Linked DNA regions of Drosophila melanogaster. The protein of the gene in region 2 purifies or fractionates together with the protein of the main gene of each other region. This does not show direct contact. Each region holds a gene or a part of one and is shown on either strand. Other genes may lie near its edges.

Region 1 (4,727 bases), on a different chromosome or scaffold from region 2:
CCACGCATGCAGGCGGTGGTCCTCGATTCCCGCGTTACAGCAGCCAAAGCAGTTTGGCCAGCGAAGCGTCCAGCTCGTTTGATCGTCGCCAACAGACATCGCCACAAAATCCACATCAGCATCAGCACCAGCGGCACCGCCATTTCACACGCCGCTCCCAGCCAGACATCCATCAGCCGCAGAACGAGGAGAACTGGCAGGGGCAGGCGGATAAGGGCCAACCACCATCCGGAAAGGAGGAAAGCGAGCTGGTGCGGAATGCCCAGCAGACCACTCAGTACATGAACTATTTGTCGGCCCAGAAATGAGTTTATACACTTTACGAAGTCATCCACATGTACGAAAATTGTTTTTGAAGTCCGTTTAGAAGTTATTTGTTTCGCCTTCGTATATGTTTCCTAATGGATGTGTATATCCACGTAGACTGTTTTCACATTATTTTGTCTTCAACTGAGCTCAAATGTTAAACCAATACAAAACAATTTAGACCAATCACAAAACAAATCCATCTCAAATCCAGGCTTAAAGAATATTAAGCATGCATGCATTACACATTGGAGCCACTAAATTTGTAAATACCAATTATATATATATGAATGTCTTGTGTAGTCCCACACAACCACGCCACATAAACACTCCCACACAAAATACAGTCACACACACTCATTTTTATATTTATATATACAAATTGCTTAGAAACTAAGTACAAAGTCAATGAAAAAACAAAAATAATCCTATTTCTATTGAAAAGTAAAACGCCTGTTGGTGAAATGTTAAAAGCATGTTGAACATATAAAAATTTGTATTTTTAGCTAAATATATACTTATATATTAAATGTCATGTTATAGTGCAGGTTCAGCCGATTTATTAAACGAATTATACAAGCTTACGTATTTTTAAAGCAAATTTTGTGAGGCCCTCTGTTGGAACAACAAAGCCAAGCCGGAGTGCAGAGAAAAACATGAATTGTAGAGTTATACGAGTAGTCTTATATAGATACTTAAACCTCTTTGTTTAGGTATAATCAATATGTTCGCAACATGCGTAGGTTCAAAACACTAATCAGCATATAAATAGCGTCTAACACATTTTTAATAAAACAAAAAAATTGCATTATCATTAATCAAACATTAAAACAAATTCTTTTGAAAACTTTTGAAATCACCAGCAGAATGTCATAGTCTTACCTCCGTATTTACATCACCTGATTGGATGAATGTATTTTCCGAATCCTTGTGGGTGACTCCCCTCGTCTTCTGCGTTTCCACTTTCCAGAACTTCTGTGGGCAACTCTCGGTTGTGCATACTTTACAAAAGCGATAGTAAGAAAGCTTTAAGACCGCAGTTTTTATTAATCTTGCCATTTTGAAGACAGTTGGTCCGTTTTAGATACAATATACAAAAAACCAAGATTTCCGTTTATCGTAGGCATTGATCAAGTCAAGGTCAAAATATTTTTAAACCCGTGTCTAGTCACAAACATCTTCACTTTCCAAACTATTATAAAGAATTGCATACTTGAGGGCAGCAAATAGCAGACTAACTTATACATATGTATATGGGGACTTTTATTTGTACATAATTTGCTGGCAGTCAAAACAAAGTTATCAATTTTTCGCTTGATTAAAGAAATTGGGGACAAATCTTGGCTTACTGATAAGCGAATTTAAAACAAGTACAGAAATAATAGATCCGATTTTTTTCAAAAATAGAATAAGACGTACATATGTATTTATAACACAGATTCATACAATAAGGCATAAGAGATTTAAGATATCAGCAGCATCATCGATCTGCCTGGTCACGTGGGGTGACCACCAGGACTTCGTAGGTGTTTACGCTCACCTCTTGACCATGATGCGGGATGTACATGACCTTGTGGGAAGGATGCACCTTGCCCAGACGCAGGATACCCTGGTAAAGACCACGACCCGTGTAGGTGACCTCACCCAGCTCGGAGTAGCCCGTGTTCAGAGCATCCCGCGGATATGTTCCATGCTGTCCGGGCACCCACTTGTAGTCACAGTCGTTGAGCACCAGGATCTCGACATCATCGGTCAGAGTTCGGGCGCTACAGCTGTGCGAACCGAAGGCAGCCTTCTTTTCCGGTACATAAGGAGCAGGCAGGAGATCGTCGTGGTAATATCCTCTGGCCACATACGTGGGCAGTCCGTCTTCGTTGGTGCCACACTGCACAGCTCCCTCGGGCGGCAGGTGGGCATCCGGTAAGCTGTCTCTGTCCAGATCAATGGGCACCCAATCCATGGCCACCTTGGGCAATTCGGTGTCATCGAACTCCGGGGCCTCGGCGAAGTTTAGGTACAATCGGTGCACGCGTCGTCGGTCGCATGGGTCTCTGCATTGGGGGCAGGTCCTGGACCTATTCAGCCATCGGGTGAGGCAGTCCTTGTGGAATACATGACCGCACCGTGAAGTTGAGAAAATTATGTCGTTGGCCCGGAAAAACTCGTTGCAAATTGCACATAAAATGTTCAGTGAAGGTGATGAGTCATTTGTGGGTGCAGTTTCTGCGATTTTTCCGCCGTTACCTTCCATTTCACTACTATTACTCTCCATAACTACGTCCCTATGGATACTGAGCTTTGAATATGTGTGGCTCTATTCTTCTGTTCCAAATTTATTTCACAACAATGAGCGGAAAACGAAACGATTCGTATCAACTTTCCTGCTTTATTAGAGATGACCTCTGGAGAATACCAAATATACTAGAAATACTGTTATTTTAATAAGTTTGAATCTTGATTGAAAATAATCCTTTAAATATCTTATAGCATTAAGTAAGTAACATTTATATTAAGTAACATTTATATTAGCGTCTTAATCATAACTCTATTTTGGCTAAGATAATGTACTGTGCTATCATTTTGTGGTTATCTACTGGATCTTTACTTTGTATTAAAGTAGCGTTTCAAACCTGCACCAGTACTTCGTTGGTGCCAACGTTAACCTCTTGACCGTGCTGCGGGATGTACATGACCTTATGGGAAGAATGTACCTTGCCCAGACGCATGATGTCCGTCCTCGTTAGTGCCGCACTGCACTGCTTCCTCGGGCGGCAGGTGGGCATCCGATAAGCTGTCTCTGTCCAGATTCATGAGCAGAGGGTGCTCGGGAAAATCCCTGTTATTCTTGTGAGTCAGAGGACAGGCTTTTAACCGGGTACTTCTGCGAACAAGTTCGTCGTGAATGCACCTGTGGCCCATTGTCTGTTCGGGAATTAGTTTCCGAATCCGGTATGGCGATGGGTCATTTGTGGGTGCTTCTCAATTTTCCATTTCTTTGCTGTTACCATCCATATCTGAATCCCTTTACACACTGAGCTTTAAATACGTATGGCGCACTTGTTTTATTTTAAAATTAACGGATACGAGCTTTATAGAGATGGACTTTAAGTAGTGCCAGAAATACTGTTATTTTTATATTTCGTAAGTTTACATGGATCTCAAACGCTTATAACATTTAATTTCAAACTTTTTGCTAATATTTAGGTCTCAAGGTTTCAGAACAATTTTGTTTTATTTTGTTATAGATTTTTACTAAATAGACTAATTAAAGTGTATGCCAGTTGTTAAACAAATGTATTTCATAATCAGGAAGTCAAATATGTAATGTATATATATAATAAATTTGGATTTTATAGCTAAAAACTAATAAAAGGTTCACCTGTGCTCAATAATAGTTTCAAATACTGTTCAGGTCATTTTTAACACAAGAATTTATAAATATTTAAAATTAGCTATCGATAAGTGGCACCAGGTACTTACGATACTCAACCGATCTGGCAACGACGCGCGGTACGTGGCTTCGGGACACGGAAAACAATTTTACGGGAAAAGCTAAACAAATTATGTACAATTCGCAATAAATCCGAAAAGATATAGGGACAAACACCAGACGGAGAAGAGGAGCACAAAAGGCTGCATGAACTGTAAGTGCCAAGGACCAGATACCCGTTTCTTTTTCTGCGTTCACCCGTATCCTTTCACTTTTAATTGCTAAGTTCAACATACAACTACAAATGGATATTCAGCTGATTTACAGCTAGTGCGGTTTCTCAATGGCTCAAATTATGTTTCCCAAACTTGCCGCCACTCCAATGGAAACAAGTTAATGTGCGCATAATATGCAAATTTTCTGTTTGTTTTGGTTTGCCAAAATACAAACAATACATACATATGTACGCAAGTACATAGTACATATCTATGTTTGGCACACACACTGACGCATTAACTGCGCTCTTTGTTTGCCGCCTATAAATAAACGCCAAAAAATGCGTACGAGATTATGCCATTTGTTGCTTTTCAGCTGTGCTTTGCGTACGTCAACAAAGCTTTATTATATAAACAAATACAAAACGGCAATCAGCTGTTTCTAACAAAAAATAAACGGTTGAATAGCCTTGTCATTATCATTGTTTATTGTGCTTTGCCATAGATATATGTATGTATGTACAATGGCCATTTCACTATTAAACGAAATTATTAGAACGGCTAATTAAACTCTCTATCTTTGGCTCTCTTGTGTCTTCTTCCAAGCCCCTCTTTTGAGATATGCACATAATTGACGCAAATATTGCATCATGCGTTTCGAGGATTCCCCTCATTTATTTCACTATATGTATTCATTTGCAGTATTGCTTAAATATGTTTTGAATAATTAAGTTACGAACGTTTAAACAAATAAAATCATTATATATGTATGTATA
Region 2 (4,384 bases):
TTAACGAAAACACTCAATCTTTTTAGCGCAAAATGGAGGCAAAGGCGCTGCTGAAGACGATTGACTGGAAGCGCAATGCTGAGGGACAGAAGAAGGTAAAAACTTCGACGGCCGTGGCGAATGCAGATACCAGTTCCGAGGACGAGATGGAGTGGGAGCTCCAGGATGTGCGAGTTCGAGTTCCCATCACATCCATAGCCACCACGACTACCTCCACGACCACCGTAGCTGCGGAGAGCGCCTCGAGTAGCTCCCTGATCAGCTTGCGTCCGGACCGAAACCTGATTCAGGGCATGCGTCGATCCCAGTCGAGCAGGACTAGCTTAACCGCGCCTGCCAGCGGCACCACCACCACGCCATCGGCAACTGCTGTCACAATGTCCACCGAGGAAACGCCTGGCACATCCGGTGGCCCTTCGAATCCGCCCGAGCAGGCGCCCTCGGATGATAACAGCTCCATGGAAATATCCAGCGTATCCATCGATTAGTCAAATGCGTTCCAATTGTATAAATTTCTATTTGTTTTTATGAATTATATTGGCAATCCAAGTAAATAATGAACTAGTCCTATTCACCATTGCCAGGTCCAAAACGTCATCCTTCTCCATCATAGTTAATGAAAATATAGTATTTCACAAAACTACTAAATACTCCATATTAATCGAATGTGCAAACAGGATCTTCAATTCAAAAAACTTTAGTATGGCTTATAATTTTTGTGATCTTAAACTGAGTGTTTCATAATTTGTTCCTTGGTTTAAGAATACCAAATATTTGATTAATCTGGCCTTGCTCGGCTGTTATATAATATGAATCCCCATAGTGGAGCGATTCAGTATGGGTAAAAGTAATCTCGCTTCAGAAATCTTGGATCCATCGTGCTATGATGGCTGCTTCCTTATCGCGGGCATCGCGCACAGAAGGTGGATCGGCCGGATCGCTGTGGCGCAAGTCCAAGTGATGGGCTCCCTCGGGCAGGATGATGACGAAGACCTTGTCGTTGGGAGCCTGAAGCACACCGCCACCGCTCCAGGGATCCAGAAGACCGTTGCTGAAGATGATGTTGGTCGCAGCCTCCAGGTTTCTGCCGCCATAGCGCAGAATGATGTCGTATGGCTTGGGGGTGAGACGGTAGTTCTTGTAGCACTTTTCCGCGTAATCCTTGAAGTTCCAGCTGGACGTGCGGAACATGGTTTCGGAGCCATTGGAGCAGATGGGCATCACCATCTGGTTGCAGCTCTGGATATTCCAACCGGAGTCATCGGCGTTGGAGTTGACGGATATATCGAGGCACTTGGCGGACTGTGTGTAGTTGGTGTAGACAGCCAAAGCGCTGGACATGGCGTGCAGCAAATCGGCGTCGGTGGAATGCAGCTCCTTCAGGTAGTAGCACACCTGCCTCACGGGATAGGCAGGTAATGGGGCCAGGAAACTGCTGTTGTACGGGTAATTGACCATGGCGAGATTGCTGTACACCTCCTCCACGTAGTCCAGGAACTTCTTCAGATCGTCGTCGTTCTTCAGGGCATTGCATAGGTGGAATGCATCCGATATCTGCTTCTTGCCGGCCTCGCTGGCGCCCAGAGTCTCGAAGAGTTTCCACGACTTGGCAATATTCAAGGTGCAGTTTTCGTTGTAGGCATTCTGGAACACCGATGTCACAATCCTGTAGAAGATGTCGCAATCGGTTATCCCGGGGAACTGCAGAACGGGCGCCGAGGCTGCCAGGGCTCCGTTGACCAAATGCGGATACTTCATCCGGAACCAGGCGGCCAGCATTCCGCCATAGGAGCCCCCGAAGGCCACCACGGGCATCTGGCGATCGTTCCGCAGGAACGTGATCAGCATGGCGTAGTCCTCGAGCGTCTGCTCCACTGTGAAGTAAGCCAAGTGCTCCGGCAGGCTGGTGTTGAACGTGGAGCTACCGAAGGGCAATGACTTTCCATAGTAACGATGCTCCGCAAAGATCACCAGAGCCCGCTGTCGTTCCGCCTGCTCCCACAGGAATCCGGTATTCTGGGCGAAGAGTTCGATGTCCCCCTCGTTGCCCGTGTAGAAGAAAATCGGGGTGCGGGCATTGCTCTTGTCCACGAACGAGTCGTTGTACAAGTACCGGATGTTGAAGGTGGCGTTGATCAGGAAGCTGAAATGGTCCAGCGGCACCTGGAACTCCTTGATCTCGTACTTGAACCGCTGGCTGCAATCACAGCCCGCGATCAGCAGGATTCCCAAAACCGCTAACAGTGCAGCTCTCACTGTGGCTTCTCCCATATCGCGAAGAATCATATGACCTCTGTGGTTTGCACAATTTTCAGTTCGTTATCTGCAAGCCGGGCTTTATATTACACTTTGTGCAGTGTTACCAGATCGCGAGACGTGATTTTTGGAGCGGTTCTAAAGCACTCAAAAAAAAAAAAGATAACTTGCATTTCAAAATCGGATACATATTGTTAATAAAACTACGCATTTTACATTTACCACTCATTTGGTAAAGGGTAATGAAGAATTAAGTGGAGATTCATTTGAACTCATCATATCTTGTTAGAAAACAAACATTGTTTTGATCTTAGTGTGCCGAATCATCTTAACAACGTCTTATATTTAAAACCTTCTTTTTAATCGCCAAAAGTTTAAAAAACACAAACCGATGCCCATTAAGCTTCTTCAAATAAGTACTTACCAACACTGCACTCAACTCTCGATAATTTTCAGCAAAGCACCTGTCATTTCCCCCTATTTTGATTTGATTTGAGTTCGATTTCGCCATGCATTTAAAAATGAGTAGTGAGTAAGTCGGAAAATTATTAAAAATAATATTTATAGTGATAAAATAAAATATTTCATGAGGCCTCGTAATCCGTAAAAATCATAATATGAAATAAACATATATGTTTAGTATTTTATTTAAATTTTCATTATGTCTGTTGGATTTGAAAGTTGGATAATTTAAAACGTTCATTGAAGAACATGTCCTTCTGCCAAGCTATCGGGTCGTTCTAAAGTAATATGAACATAATGCATTTGAATATCTTCGGTGCCTAGATGAAAATCTTGCTTCCAAAAGTGCTCTAATGATTTCTTCGAGGACACTTTCCTTCTCAAAAGTAAACACTTCGATGAGTGGCCAATATTTTGCAATCATTGAACAGTGTAACTATAAAGTAACTTTATCTGTTGCTAAATATTTTACCACAACGACTTTGGTATTTAGCGGACACTCTTTTAATCGGATCTTTGTATTTATTTCTATCTGGAATAGAATAGCCCAAAGGATAGAATAGCCATAACAGTTTTTCAATTCGCCTTGCTATTCCGACCCTGAAAGCTGTACCCTATATATATAAATATATTAAAAAATTGTTTTATTTTTTCGTTTTAACATTTAATTACAGCAATTACAAACACATTTTTTGAAATAAATTTCCCACTTCTGAACTGATTGTGGCAACAAACGCCAGATGGCGTTAAAGGCACATGAACGGGATTGAGAGTAAAATACCGAGAATGTAAAAAACACGGGCAAATGTAAAGTTCATGTGTCGAAATGATGTAAATATACGCACTAGAAAAATTAAAGTTCATTTTGTAGTACTAAATATAACACAGTTAAAATATTTTAAAATGATGTTTGACAATATTTTGTTTCTTGAAAATCCCTGTATAATGTCAACCGTTGGCATCTATCATATAAATTTCGTGTCGTTCCGCCTGATCAATCCCACATATTATACATAGTCAAATATGTCTTTAGATAGGCATTTTTTGCAGGGGTAGCTACTCAAGTGTATCCAATGGCATAATATTGGGGCAACATAATTGGCATATGGTAAGAGGTTACCTCGCTGGCTTTGCCACACGATTCTTTCTTGGTGCTTCAGTTCAGTTTCTCCGATCGGCTCACAATGCATGTAAATTACTTATCTTAGAAAATACTGTGACAATTTAGTGTAATGAATTGGGTAAATGTGCCTAATGCGAAATGGCACATTTATGCGCGGACACAAATCAATTCATTCGGTCCCGCGAGTTTTGCACATAAATTAATAAGCCCTATAAATTATCATAAAAACGGCGGAAAATTGAATTTCGAGTGGGCGAATGTGGTGGGTGGTCCGTGCGCAGCTGTCAAAACGGGCCCAGCGGAAACGGAAACAAAGCAGCAGCATCAGAAATGTCAGCCAATGCAATGAGGTCACTCCGCCGGTGCCGCTGGTGTCACATGAAATATCCATCACAATAATCATCGCCGGACTCGTGGCCAGATTATTTTCCATCCTGTGCGCTGGCTCGCCTAATTGATTTCATTCTCCCGCTTTTTGCGTGTGCTAATGTCAAAAGAAGAAACAATAATCATTGTGGCTCTCTAGTTGTTCGACTAATTAGC

What was found.
Region 1: the proteins of CG2493 (region 2) and CG10916 purify together in Drosophila melanogaster (affinity purification with mass spectrometry, with the first as the bait; one large-scale study listed by BioGRID). This does not show direct contact.

What each region holds. Positions count from the first base shown.
Region 1 is NT_033778.4:18,171,661-18,176,387, reverse strand, and holds CG10916 (uncharacterized protein), read right to left. Parts: upstream 2,720-4,727; 5' UTR 2,579-2,719; coding exon 1,787-2,578; 3' UTR 663-1,786; downstream 1-662. Other genes in the region: CG5726 (uncharacterized protein), read left to right, coding at 1-308.
Region 2 is NT_033779.5:20,461,085-20,465,468, forward strand, and holds CG2493 (uncharacterized protein), read right to left. Parts: upstream 2,361-4,384; 5' UTR 2,287-2,360; coding exon 859-2,286; 3' UTR 501-858; downstream 1-500. Other genes in the region: Cdc23 (cell division cycle 23), read left to right, coding at 27-488.